Linked DNA regions of Ovis aries. The protein of the gene in region 3 interacts with the protein of the main gene of each other region in a biochemical or structural test. Links are inferred from orthologs where the notes say so. Each region holds a gene or a part of one and is shown on either strand. Other genes may lie near its edges. The genes, in order: PLAT, FAM20C and FGA.

Region 1 (4,302 bases), on a different chromosome or scaffold from region 3:
ATGGTGTGGGCAGCTGCTAAAGACCCCCCAGTTGTACCAGTTCCCCAGGAAGAACTGCTGCTATCATTTTCTGGAGAATCATGATCAAAACCAGAACTTGCCTGGCTTGTACCTTCAAAACTGTTTATAAAATGCCTGCTGTGGGCCCAGCACCCAGTTCCTTTTCCCTTTGTACTAAGTTTCAACTTTCAGGCGATCAAGAGGTCTGTTCATCTATCCCTCTATGCCCTTCTATAGAAGTCTTTTTCGCAGGTGGGAAAGTGGAATGTAAAATGCACAAGTATGACTGAGAAAGTGTGCTCTCCTTAATATGTAAGTAGACGCTCAGGCGAATAGCAGGAGACCGTGTGCCTGGACTTGAGGGCTGGACTAGGGCAGATGGTTCAGAAGATTCTTCCTAGCTCGAGCTTTCTGTGAGTCTGGATCCTCCTCACCTTTTAATCTGGCTCCACTGGAGACCCAGCCCTTGGTTTTGTGAGCTGGTTGGCTAGGATGAGTTTTACTGTCTGAAACTAGGGACACAGTTTTTCTCTGTGCACAGAGAACAGCCAAAGAAGGAATGAACAGAGTATTCCGGTCACTCACCGTCCACTCTGACCATCCTATCAGAACAAGGCAGAAAGTCACTCATAGGGAATACAGATTTTATTCTGAGACTGCACATGCCTGGGAGCCTTTGAAACTGAACACTTCAACTCAAGACACAAATGTTCCCTCCTCCCTCCCCCAGATATTCAGTATTCAGAGAAGCATATAGATTTTGAGTTTTGACTGGAACTAAGCCTACTATTGGGCTTCCCAGGTGGCGCTAGCAGTAAAGAACCTACCTGCCAACACAGGAGACATAAGAGATGCTGGTTCGATCCCTGGGTGGGGAAGATTCCCTGGAGGAGGGCATGGCAATCCATGCCAGTATTCTTGCCTGGAGACTCCCATCGACAGAGGAGCCTGGCAGGCTACAGTCAGTGGGGTTCCAAAGAGCCAGACACGACTGAAGTGATTTAGCACACACAGCAAGCCTGCTTGCTATTCATTCCATGAGCCATGCTGTCCCCTCGGCCTCTGATCCAAGACAGCCTACCCTCCCTCTGGAAGCTTTGGAAGTTTAAAGCCAACTGTGCTCCTCTCAAACGACGGTCTAGCCCAAGGCCCCTCACGCTGCTGTAAAACCCCAGGCGGGACCAGAAGACCTGGAGGTGAAGTAGAGACAGGCCCCACCTGGGCAGGGACTTCCCAGATGGCCTGTGGTCCTGGCCACTCACTCACAAAAAGCCTTTCGTGGTGATGACAGCTTCACGTCACACCGCCAGGGATCTGGCTGGGTTGCTCTTTGCATTCGTTTGAAATCTACTGATCACCAGCTCTGCTCACCAACACGCTAGGTCCCCAGGTCCCCAGGTCCTGCCCCCACAAGCGAAAACTCATCATGGGACCATTTCTGTTCCTCCAGAAGCAGGAACTGTCCCAGGCCAGTGCAGAAGCCACAGAGAGCAGCCTCACTGGGAGAATCTGATCTAATGGTTTATAAAATAAACCGAGCATCCGCAAAGAGCCTGGACCATTCGGGCGGAGAGCAAGCTCTCGCTTGCTCATGCCAAGAGCCGGCGCTTGCAGGCTGGTGTCTCTGAGAATGTTTTAGGTGCGATCAGTTGATGGGTAGGATGGAGCTCTTCCTATTTCGGTTATTTGCGCCGTCTCTGCTGGCGCCAGGTCTGGCTTTGCTCTCACAGGAAGCACTTAGCCGGCAGCTCCTCTGACTGTCATCTATTGATTCTGGAGCAGTCAGAGCCCAGATCCTGGGACGTCTTCTGCCCCCAGGCAAGACTTGCTAGGAAGCCCTTCTGAGGAAACTCCACTTAGCGGCTGTATTTCAGAATTTCTTCATGGGCTTGCACACACATGCACACGCACACACACATAATGTTTTCTCTGTCATGCACCAGCTGCGGGAGGCCACCACTGCCGTCCACATCAGTCACCGCCACCACACGGCTTTGGGCTTGAGCGTGTCATCAGTTACCTTAGAGTGCCTTCCTTCCCTCCCTCCCTCCCTCTCTGGGAGGTAAAGAAAATCAACATAATAACAGTGAAAGCCTAGAATGCCCAATACAGTTCCTGTAGAGAGCTTGGGGAAGAGAAGACTCTGTAATTGGAAGAGTCCTCAAAGAGCCCTCCCCTCCCATCCTGGGCAAAAAGCCAGAGGACAAAACCCGGCCTCGGAAGGAGACCGGAGGCTTCGCTCTGACGGTTTCCCCCTTCCTCTCACCCAGCACTTCCCACCCAGTGAATCCTCCGTGGGCAAGTCGCTCTCTGCCCAGCCCTGCCTCAGTTTCCCTGTGGGCTCATGCCCCCGGGACCCTCTGGCCTCTGACCCCATCAGCCTGTCTCCCTTCTCTTGCCCGTGAGTGATGAGCCGGGCCCACCGTCTACTCAGAGCGGGTATGGATCACCCTTTTCACTTTCCCCTGTGCGAGCAGAGATTTCTGCTTCAGGAGACACAACCCTAGTGCCCTCTCTCTTGCCCTGACCGCTGCTGTCCCCTCGAACGCTTCAGCCCATCCCTGTAGGATGCACATTCAAAAAGAAACCTCCCTCCAGACATGGATTCTAGCGAACCCCACTTTTGGCCTGAGTGACGGAGTCAGCCCCCTCGGGCCGACATTCCTTCAGTGGCTCATAAAGACTTTTAAGAGAGAGAAGAGGAGCCAGGGACAGAGAGGCACAGAGTCCAACCTACCGTGCGCCCAAGCCTTCTCCCTCCTCCAGAGGCGTTGTCTTCGGCGCCAGGCTCTGCAGGACCGTGGCTGGCTCTCCCTGCAGGGCACCGGCCTCCTTTAAATTTCAAGGCAGGGGGTGGGGTCGCTGGCCCTGGGTGGGCGGGCTTTGCTGCGGCAGGAGGATGCCCAGTGGACACTGGGCCCCGCAGGAGCCAAGCTGGGGCGGGCCTCTTTTCATAAAGGGGGGGAGGAATTTCCCCCATGGAAGCAGCCCAGCCCATCCTGGCTCGGGGCCAGGCCGATTATTCATGGTCCTGATGTCATCAACGAATCACAGGAATTTGGGAGTTGGATGTTGGAGGGGAACCCGAAGAACCATCTTCCTTTCAAACCCTAGTCTCAACCTCCTTAAAGGGACCCTGAGGATCCGTTAGCTCTAAGCCCCAGTGGGGGAGAGAGGCTTTTACAATTCTAAACAAAGACACACGGAGTGGATAGGGTTCTTCCGGAATCTCCAGCAGTCACTCTGCCCCTCTGGACACAGGAGATTGAAACAGCGGGCCTGGCAGGGCCAGCCGCCCTGCGGGCTTGATCACCTGGGGCTGGGGTGAGGACAGGTTAGCAGAGGTAGGCAGGCCCCACCTGCACACCTGCAGTGCCCCAGCCTGGAGTGAGCCACTCCTAGCTCCATCACCCCGGGGGGAAATCATTTCACTTCTTCATAAAGTGAATCCTTGATTACTAAGGTCTGTTCAGCTCCAGAGATGTCTGGTTGGGCTGGGGGATACAGGTGGGGTTGCTGAGTTGATGCTCTGACTCCACGGGGCTGCCTGTACTAGAAACTCCATCCCTCCCCGCCCACCCCGACACTGGGAAGTGTTTTAGTGTTCTGGAGTTTGCTCTTAATCGTAAATGCTCCGTAGGATTTGGTAACCCCCTGCAGAGGACTCATAAGTCAGGGCCCAGGGCTGAGCCATGTAGGGAAAGGCAGACGCTTGAATCAGCTGTACCGGGCATGAGGGATGTGACCTCAGTCAAGTTTTTCAGTGATGCTGAGCTTTCACGTCTGAGGTCACATATGGATTAGAGAGAGACAAAGCACGCGAGATCCCTGGCACGTCACAGGGCACAGTCGGTGGCATCTGTTATGTCGATGTCTAGTGGAGACCAGGCACCATGAGGGTGAGAGAGGAGGACGAGGAAGGGTGCTGGAGAGGATGCTGGGGGCTGGCAGAGGAAAGTGGGAGGGACGAGCGGCCAGGTGTCCTGTATTCTAATCCTAAACACGCTCGTGTTTATCAAGCAATGAGAGCTGATTCGGGATTTGGAAAATAATGCTAGCGTGGCCAAGGTCGAACCAGTTTTCTACATTTTAATCAAACCAGAGCCCTGCCAACGGCCGTTACAGGAAAGGCAGTGGGGGACCAAGTCAGGCATATCCTGGTGCATCAGAGCCAGGCAAGCTGCAGACCAGCATCAGACAAGCTACAGCAGGCCGGGGGGAGTGCCTCGAGATGTCTACTTTGCCAGAATAAGGCTTGGAGGGTTTGGGGATTTTTTGGCATTTTGGTTCAGCAGGGGTAGG
Region 2 (3,562 bases), on a different chromosome or scaffold from region 3:
GCAGACAGACCCCTCCCCAGCAGCCCTGCCCCTTGTGACACCCCACGCACACCCGCGGGGCCTCTGAGATGGGCAAGGACTCACCCCTCCTGCCAGCAAAGCCCCAGACATTCAGGGGAACCGGCCTGGATTCTCCGGGACCCTCAGGCTGGCAGGCTGGGACCCCCTGATTTTCACGGAGACCGGAGCCAGGGAGCCCGTTTCGTTGGAGTCCTCGGGTCCTCCCCGCCGTCTGGCCCGCTGCCCTGAGCTGCCCTGGGCATCACTGTCAAGAGGAACAGGCACTGCCTCCCCGAGCCCAGCCACTCCACGCCTGTCCTCTCTGCTCCCTGAGTCAGGAGCTGCACAGCCCCCTGTTCAGGGACGGAGGCTCGGAGGAGTGAGGGCCCGGCCCCGCACGGGGCTGCAGAGCGGAGCAGTGAGAAGCCACAGGCTGGAGGAGCCCCACCCTGACGCCCCTGCACAGGCCGGGTTTCTGACGGGGAGAAGGCTGTGGGCCCGGGAAATGCCTCTCTCTTCACTTGACTCCATCTAAAGTCAGCTTAGGCTCAGAGGTTACAGACACGAATTCCAGGGCTCGGAGAGGATTTTCCTCCTGAAAACGGGCCGAGATTGAATCATGTCGACACAAGAGACCTCAGGCTGAGCCCAGTCTGCAGCAGCGCTGCAGGATCCTGAGGTGCAGGGCAGGGGCGGGCAGGCTTTGCTGTTGTCAGGGCGGGGGCCGGTGCGGAGGGGCCACGGGCTTGGGGCTTGTTTCCCCCACAAACAAAGGCAGTGACGGAGCGCAGGAACTCGGTTCCATAGGTAAGCGCAGGCTCAGACACGCCCGCCGCCCAGCACGAGGCGCTTCGCGACTCTGCTCCTGTGGGGCCGTGACCCACACGTCTTGGGTCCAGTGTCTGAAATGTGCAGTTAAGTGGTTTTTAGTGCATTCTCCGTGTTGTGCAGCAGGCCCCACTGATTCCAGGGTATTTGCTCTCCCCGAAAGAAGCCATCACTGTTCAAAGCCACCCCCTCCCCTCCTCTTGGCTCTGAGAGCCGCCAGCTCCCATTCAGTTCGTCCCCTGCCAGGGTCTCGTGCGCACGGTGTCTGGCTTTGCCCACAGTGTTCGTGGCTCGTCCATGTGGTGTTCCACTTCGTTCCTTTTGTGGCTAAGTGCTGTTCCACGTTACGGGCAAACCACGCTGCCTCCGGGGGTGGTCTGCTGGGAACACCTCCGTCAAGGGTCTGCGTGGACGTGTGTCTTCCCTTCTCTCGGGTGTGTGCCTGGGAGTGGGGTGGCCAGGTTACCGGTTCTGTGTCCAGCTTTCTGACTGGTTTTCACAGCAGCTGCACCACTTGACATCCCCACCACAGCTGCATCAGGGTGCAGCCAGTTTCTCCACACTGTCAACCACACTGGTGGTATCTGTTCTTTTGATCAAAACTGTCCTAGTGGGTGAGAAACTGCGGATTTGATTTGCATTTCCCCGATGACTCACGGTGCCCAGCATCTTTCCCCGTGCTTGTTGGCCATTACTATATATTCTTTGGAGAAGGATCCTTGAACTCCTTTGCCCATTTATAGATTGGGTTATTTATCTTTTTATTACTGAGATGGAAGGGTTCTTGTGTGAATACTGGGTGCTTATTCGGTCATGATTGCAAGCATCTCCCCCATGCTGCCTCTCTTTGGAATGAGGGCCTTTTGCAAACCACTGAACAGAACCTCCACAGACCCCAGACCTAGTTTGGAGGGTGATGAGGAAGAACCCAGACTCCGATCCGAGCTCTGCATCCCTAGCTGTGTGGCCCCGGGGCTGGGGCAGGTGGCTGAGGTCCAGGGTGAGGCCGTGGGCGGGCCCCGCCCAGGGAGGGAAGACGAAGACTTGGTGCCGACACGCAGACCCCGCCTGCGGGGCCCCCGCTGACCGCCCCCTCCGCCCGCAGCCAACAACATCTGTTTCTACGGGGAGTGCTCGTACTACTGTTCCACGGAGCACGCGCTATGCGGGAAGCCGGACCAGATCGAGGGCTCACTGGCCGCCTTCCTGCCCGACCTGTCCCTGGCCAAGCGGAAGACCTGGCGGAACCCTTGGCGACGCTCGTACCACAAGCGCAAGAAGGCAGAGTGCGTTGGGGGCGCGCTGGGCCGGGGACTCTGGAGTCCTGCCTCCCTGGGGTCTCGGGAGGGCTGGCTCCCACCCGACCTGCTGTAGAGAACGAGCCCCAGGGTCTTGTCCACAGCAGACGGTGTGAGGAGCCGCAGGGCTGCACTTGAGGCCGCAGATAATCAGAAAGGGCCCCTCACGCAGGGACTGGGCGCCAACTCCCCCCCGGGTCTCTCCACAACTGGACGAGGCTTCAGATCCCTTCCCCCCCTTGAGAGAGACGCTGTCCCTCCAGCTGTGGAGACGTCCTCGCGAGTGAGCTGTCCCGGCCTGTCCACACACGTGGCCTCTGGGTGGTGTGGTTTAGTCGCCTCCCCGCCCCGTGCTCCTCCCAGCCCCGTTAACGCAGCCTCAGCCCACCACAGAGATCCTTTGCTCTGCGGTGACACCTTTTCTCACGCAGTCCCCCGGCTGCCCCATGGATCCGCGGTCCTGAGCCGGGCAGCCCCAGGCCCCAGGAGGTGGTTTGGGCCTCCTTGTCATAGAGGAGCCCACCACTCTGATGCCGGGTCCCCTGCAGGTGGGAGGTGGACCCTGACTACTGCGAGGAGGTGAAGCAGACTCCGCCCTACGACAGCAGCCGCCGCATCCTGGACATCATGGACATGACCATCTTCGACTTCCTCATGGGTACGTCCAGGGCCCCTGGCCTGCCCAGCGAGCGCCCAGCTCAGGCCCAGCTGCCGCGGCCGTGCTCATGCTCACTGCTCCCCGCGCGGAGGCCGGACGGGGAGGGAGGGCGGCGCGCCTCCGAGCCTCACGCAGGCTCCCAGCAGGCTGGTCCCCACAGGGAACATGGACCGCCATCACTACGAGACCTTCGAGAAGTTTGGGAATGACACATTCATCATCCACTTGGACAACGGGAGAGGGTGAGTCCTCCCGGGCGCCGCGAGGGGCCAGCTGCCCCGGCCCAGACACACCGGGGGGCGGGCGCTCCGTGGGAGGGACGGCCCGGCCCCCAGAGGCCCCCTGGGGTGACGCAGGGCCCTGGCCCGGGCTCCTGTGAGCTGGGGACAGGGCCCCAGAGCAGGCGTGTATGCAGGCCTCAGGCCCTCCGGGGGTCAGAGCGGCAAGTACCTGGACGCCTCGGGGGAGTCAGCTCTGGGCCCCTGGGCAGTGTGTGGGGCCCTCACGCCCAGCTGTAAAAGACACCCCTGCGGCTGGATCCGAGGCTGCCCTGCGCTCGGGCCTTGTCCACCTAGCCCGGCCAGGGCCTCTCGCTGTCGAGCTTCCGCTCAGTCCAGCAACCAGAGGGTGAGACGGGCTGTGTTCACCTGCCTCGCCCGAGGCCCTGCGTCTGGGCTGGGGACAGCAGGAGGCGGGCCCCGGCGGGCCCCAGGGGCAGCCTGGCAGCACTGCCCAGGTGCCCCCGCCCGCTCCCCAGCTCTGCCCTTCTTGCCCCAGG
Region 3 (4,252 bases):
CCTGGTCAGACAAAGAAGCTTCCATGGAGCAGGTGGTGTGGGAAGGCTCTGCCTTGTACCAGGACTCTCACACAATCACACCAGGCTTCACACACCCACAGAGCCTGAAGAGACAGTGGTCACAACAGTGGAGTTCATGTATGCTTTCTTGTTTGGTGAAGTCCCATACCTTTTGAGGAAAATATAAAGATCAATAAAATATGTCAGTTCTCCAGTTTATGATTTAATGGATGAGATGGATAATGTTCCTGTAGTACTAAATATTATGAGTGGTACATGGTCTAAGGAAGTATGAAAAAATAAGAGGCAGATTTCAATTGGAGACATGAAATCAGGTACTATGTAAAGTGTCCAACAAAGTGCCCAGCATGTAGTAAACACTCAATAATTTTTGGTTATTATACTACGATCAGGATTGGCTTCATATAGGAAGCAGCATTTGAGACAAGGTAGGATTGACAGACATATCATAGGATGCCCAGTTAAATATATATTTCAAATAAACAACAACAATAAATTTTTAGTCTATGTCCAAATACTGAATGGGACACACTAACACTAAAATATATTTGCTGTTTATCCGACATTCAAATTTAACTGGGCATCCTCGTCTTTTATTTGCTAAATCTGGTAACTCCTTAGAAAAGAAAATTCAATAAAGAGCAGGGAAATAAATTAGCAGGTCCAAAGTTACAGAAACCGGAAAGAAATAATAGTTTCATTGCATTTTATGTTTTCCAATAATTGTTCACACTTACTACTGAGTACTTACTATGTGGCAATCTGAGGGCTTTACAAAGATTAACTTATTTATTCTTCATAAAAATGTGTGGTAAGTTATCACTAGGAGGAATCTGAGGCATAAAGAAGTGGAGTACTTTGTCCAAAAGCAGAGCTGGGAAATGGTGTAGCTGGGATTATGAATCTAGGATATTTGGCTTCAGGGGCTGCCTGTCCTAACCATTCTGGATAAAGGGAAGTCATCTCTGCTCACAGTAAGCTTACTGAAGCCCTTCAGGATCAGTTCATCGTCATAGTCAGTCAAAAGTCAGATCCACCAACCATCATTCCTATGTAAACTGAAACCTCAGTTGTCAAATCTCTACCTCCTGGTGGGCTATGGCTAGCCTGCCTCTGCCACCCTCTGTATTCTTTCAAGTACTCCAATAGTAGGTCCTCCCATGTTCCCCCTTGCATTTCCAAAGTCACCATGTTCCTGGAATGTGGAATTTTCCACGAACTGGGCTACCTTTGCAATAGCTTATCAGAAGCAAACAAGCTTGGGGAATTGAGCAAGAAATTCTAGGACAACAACCTTACAGAAGGAGCGAGGGATGCAGGGTGCATGTTGACTGTCTCAATGGGACAAAGATAATGATTAATCAGACCTCCTGCAGATTTAAATAGGATGGGGCCTGGAAGAGGAGGCAGTCTTCCTTTCTTTCAGCTGGGTGCTTCTCTTGAGTCAGACCTACCCACGGCAGAGATGTTTTCCGTGAGGGACCTCTGCCTGGTCCTGAGTTTGGTGGGTGCAATTCAGGTATGGCCTCTATTTCCTTTTCTCTTTCTCCCTGGTGTTTATTCTACAAAGAGCTTGCAGGTCTGAGTCAGCTATGTGTATATCATCACACACTGCTGGCTTTATAAACTGTAGCCTGTGGAGGCAAGTTCCCAGATAGGACTGACATCTCAAGAATACAGGGAATATGATCCTAAGAGAGAGACTTAGCTGGACCCAAGTGTATAAATTCACAGGGGGAAGCTTCTGCACCTGTACCTTGGTTTTATATTGTTTGTTTGTTTTAAAGAGAAGAAATCTTTGCTATCTTTGTTGCTGTAAAGCCTTGGGATTGCTAGCTAACAGAACATTCTTATGATAAGAATTTTTAACCTAATTATTAATTTGTATTTGCCCATAACATGCAGAGCAATGGTTTAATGTAGCTTTTCTAAGAGTTTGTTTTGTGTTTAAGACAAAAGAAAATTAGCTATTTTTTAAAACAAATTACACAGTAAAATCAGAAGAGATTAATTGATAAAGCAATATGCTTTTGGAAGAAATTGTATGCTTTTAAGATAATCACAAATATTGCAATAATTCCTAAAGTTTGACTACAAGGTTCTACACAAAAGAAGAGAAACTTCATTCAACAATACTTTTGAAACACAATTAATCTTATGAAAACATCATAAATCTGTTCTAAAAATTCAGTTACTTCCAGGCCGTGAACTATGCTGGTTTATTTCTTTCTCTTTACTACTTATAAACCCTACCAGAGTAGAAGAAACTCAAGAGTATTTCTAACATAATTTTCTCCCGTACAGTAAGCAACAAATAACCATTTTTTTAGGAAATAAGACTAACATCACTTGCTAAAGTTATATTTTGCATAATGCATAAATTTCATTTATTTCTCCACTATTGGCATAAATATTTAATTTTCACCTGTTTTTATTATCTTGTCATTTTATTCCAAAGTACGTCTAAATTTATAATTTTATTTTTTAAAACAAAAAGATTGTGCTTGTTCCTTTAAATAAATCGCTCTTGATTGCTTGAATTCACATTACTATTATTGGTTTTTTTTTTTTTAATGAGACAGAAAATACTAACTAATTATAAAAATAAACTACTGAGGGCTTTCCTAGTGGCTCAGTGGTAAAGAATCCACCTGCCATTGCAGGAGATGCAAGAAAGGCAGGTTCAATCCCTAGTCTGGGAAGATCCCACATGCCGCAGAGCAACTAAGCCCATGCTCCAGAGCTATTGAGCCTGTGCTCTAAAGCCTGGGAACCGCAACTACTGCAGCCCGAAAGCCCTAGGGTCTGTTCTCCGCAACAAGAGAACCCACGACCATGCACACCGTAAGTGGAGAGGATTCCCAAAACTAGAGAAAAGCCAGCGCAGAGAAAATAAATAAATTAAATGATAACAAAAATAAACTACTGAGATTAAGACAGTCGGAAAACTCCCTGCAAGTCGGTGGTACAAAATAAAAATAGTTAAAACCTAAAATCAACATTGATGTATTAAGTTATACCACCTTGTTGGAAGAATATTTATATATCCTATTTCACTCATTGATACCAATAGAAAATTTTTTTAAATTTTTATTTCCAATTATAAGATGTTCAAAAAAAGTTGCCAATCTTGGACCTTCTTTTTTTTCTTTCAGTATACTTTTCATTTCAAATAAAAGAAATTATTATGTGAGTAACCCTAAAAGCATTTCTGAGTCTGAATTGTCCACATATTTGTCCTCAGTATATGGTTGTTTAAATTTTGGACCCATAAGGTCATTGTAGATATTCGAAGGAGACACAGACCTGAAGTGTAGGTTTTTTCCTATTAAAACAGGAGTTAGAGGAGAGAGAACTCTTGAGTTTCTCCATTATTTTTCTATCTCCAGATATGAACGAAAATGTAAATTTTAACTGTTTGTTGATTCAAGTAATTTTTCTTTAATAACAGATCCTTTAAAACTCCTAACATTTACGAAAGGTTTGATTAGTGTCAAACACAGTTAAGGTTCGTACACTAATCTCCTTTAACCTCACAACTGCACAAAATGGGCCTTAAGGATTTTCATCCAAAAGATAAGAAAACTGAAGCTTATAGAGCCCCTTGGATCCCTTGGTCAGGATTTATAGGCATGCCAGTGTCTCCTCTTTATCTGCTTAAAGATCACCTCTCTTTTTTGTGTGTGTTATCGTTAAAGACAGCAGATGATAGTGATCCTGTCGGCGGTGAATTTTTAGCTGAAGGAGGAGGGGTGCGTGGCCCAAGACTTGTGGAAAAACAGCAATCTACCTGCAAAGAGACAGGCTGGCCCTTCTGCGCTGATGAAGACTGGGTGAGCCATGGGCACGGGGACTGGGGCAGGAGAGCCCTTCCCTGGGCACATGGATTGACTCTGGACAGTCCTTCCTGGCCTGCTGGCAAGTGCATGCAAGCTGCCACTTCAGGTCACTGAAAACTCGTCCAGTAGCAAATAACCTGATCAACCTACATAGCGAATAAAAGAAGACAAGGAGAAAAGAACCTAGTCCTGAGAGCACTGCTTAAATTACCTCCCAGGCTCTGGGTCATTGGTGGGATTAACAGATTGGATTTTAGCTGCATGTTCAGACAAGTACTAGGAACCTGAGTATCAGGGCCTCCAGATTTCATGGGTCCTAATCTATGGTTAAGCGGACCCTGGTCTCTGACTAGCCCTCTGAAACTACTTTTAGGTCAAGAAATGATCTGAAG

Evidence for each region.
Region 1: the proteins of FGA (region 3) and PLAT form a complex in vitro, tested with the Homo sapiens proteins (2 studies listed by BioGRID). The link is inferred for Ovis aries from reciprocal best matches to the Homo sapiens genes FGA and PLAT.
Region 2: of the proteins of FGA (region 3) and FAM20C, one has a biochemical effect on the other in vitro, tested with the Homo sapiens proteins (2 studies listed by IntAct). The link is inferred for Ovis aries from reciprocal best matches to the Homo sapiens genes FGA and FAM20C.

Annotation. Positions count from the first base shown.
Region 1 is NC_056079.1:36,401,502-36,405,803, forward strand, and holds the start of PLAT (tissue-type plasminogen activator), read right to left. Parts: upstream 2,817-4,302; 5' UTR 2,738-2,816; intron 1-2,737. UniProt on the Homo sapiens protein: Converts the abundant, but inactive, zymogen plasminogen to plasmin by hydrolyzing a single Arg-Val bond in plasminogen.
Region 2 is NW_024599764.1:35,594-39,155, reverse strand, and holds part of FAM20C (extracellular serine/threonine protein kinase FAM20C), read left to right. Parts: intron 1-1,933; coding exon 1,934-2,114; intron 2,115-2,674; coding exon 2,675-2,784; intron 2,785-2,944; coding exon 2,945-3,026; intron 3,027-3,561; coding exon 3,562-3,562. UniProt on the Homo sapiens protein: Golgi serine/threonine protein kinase that phosphorylates secretory pathway proteins within Ser-x-Glu/pSer motifs and plays a key role in biomineralization of bones and teeth.
Region 3 is NC_056070.1:3,025,188-3,029,439, forward strand, and holds the start of FGA (fibrinogen alpha chain), read left to right. Parts: upstream 1-1,422; 5' UTR 1,423-1,486; coding exon 1,487-1,540; intron 1,541-3,719; coding exon 3,720-3,854; intron 3,855-4,252. UniProt on the Homo sapiens protein: Cleaved by the protease thrombin to yield monomers which, together with fibrinogen beta (FGB) and fibrinogen gamma (FGG), polymerize to form an insoluble fibrin matrix. Fibrin has a major function in hemostasis as one of the primary components of blood clots.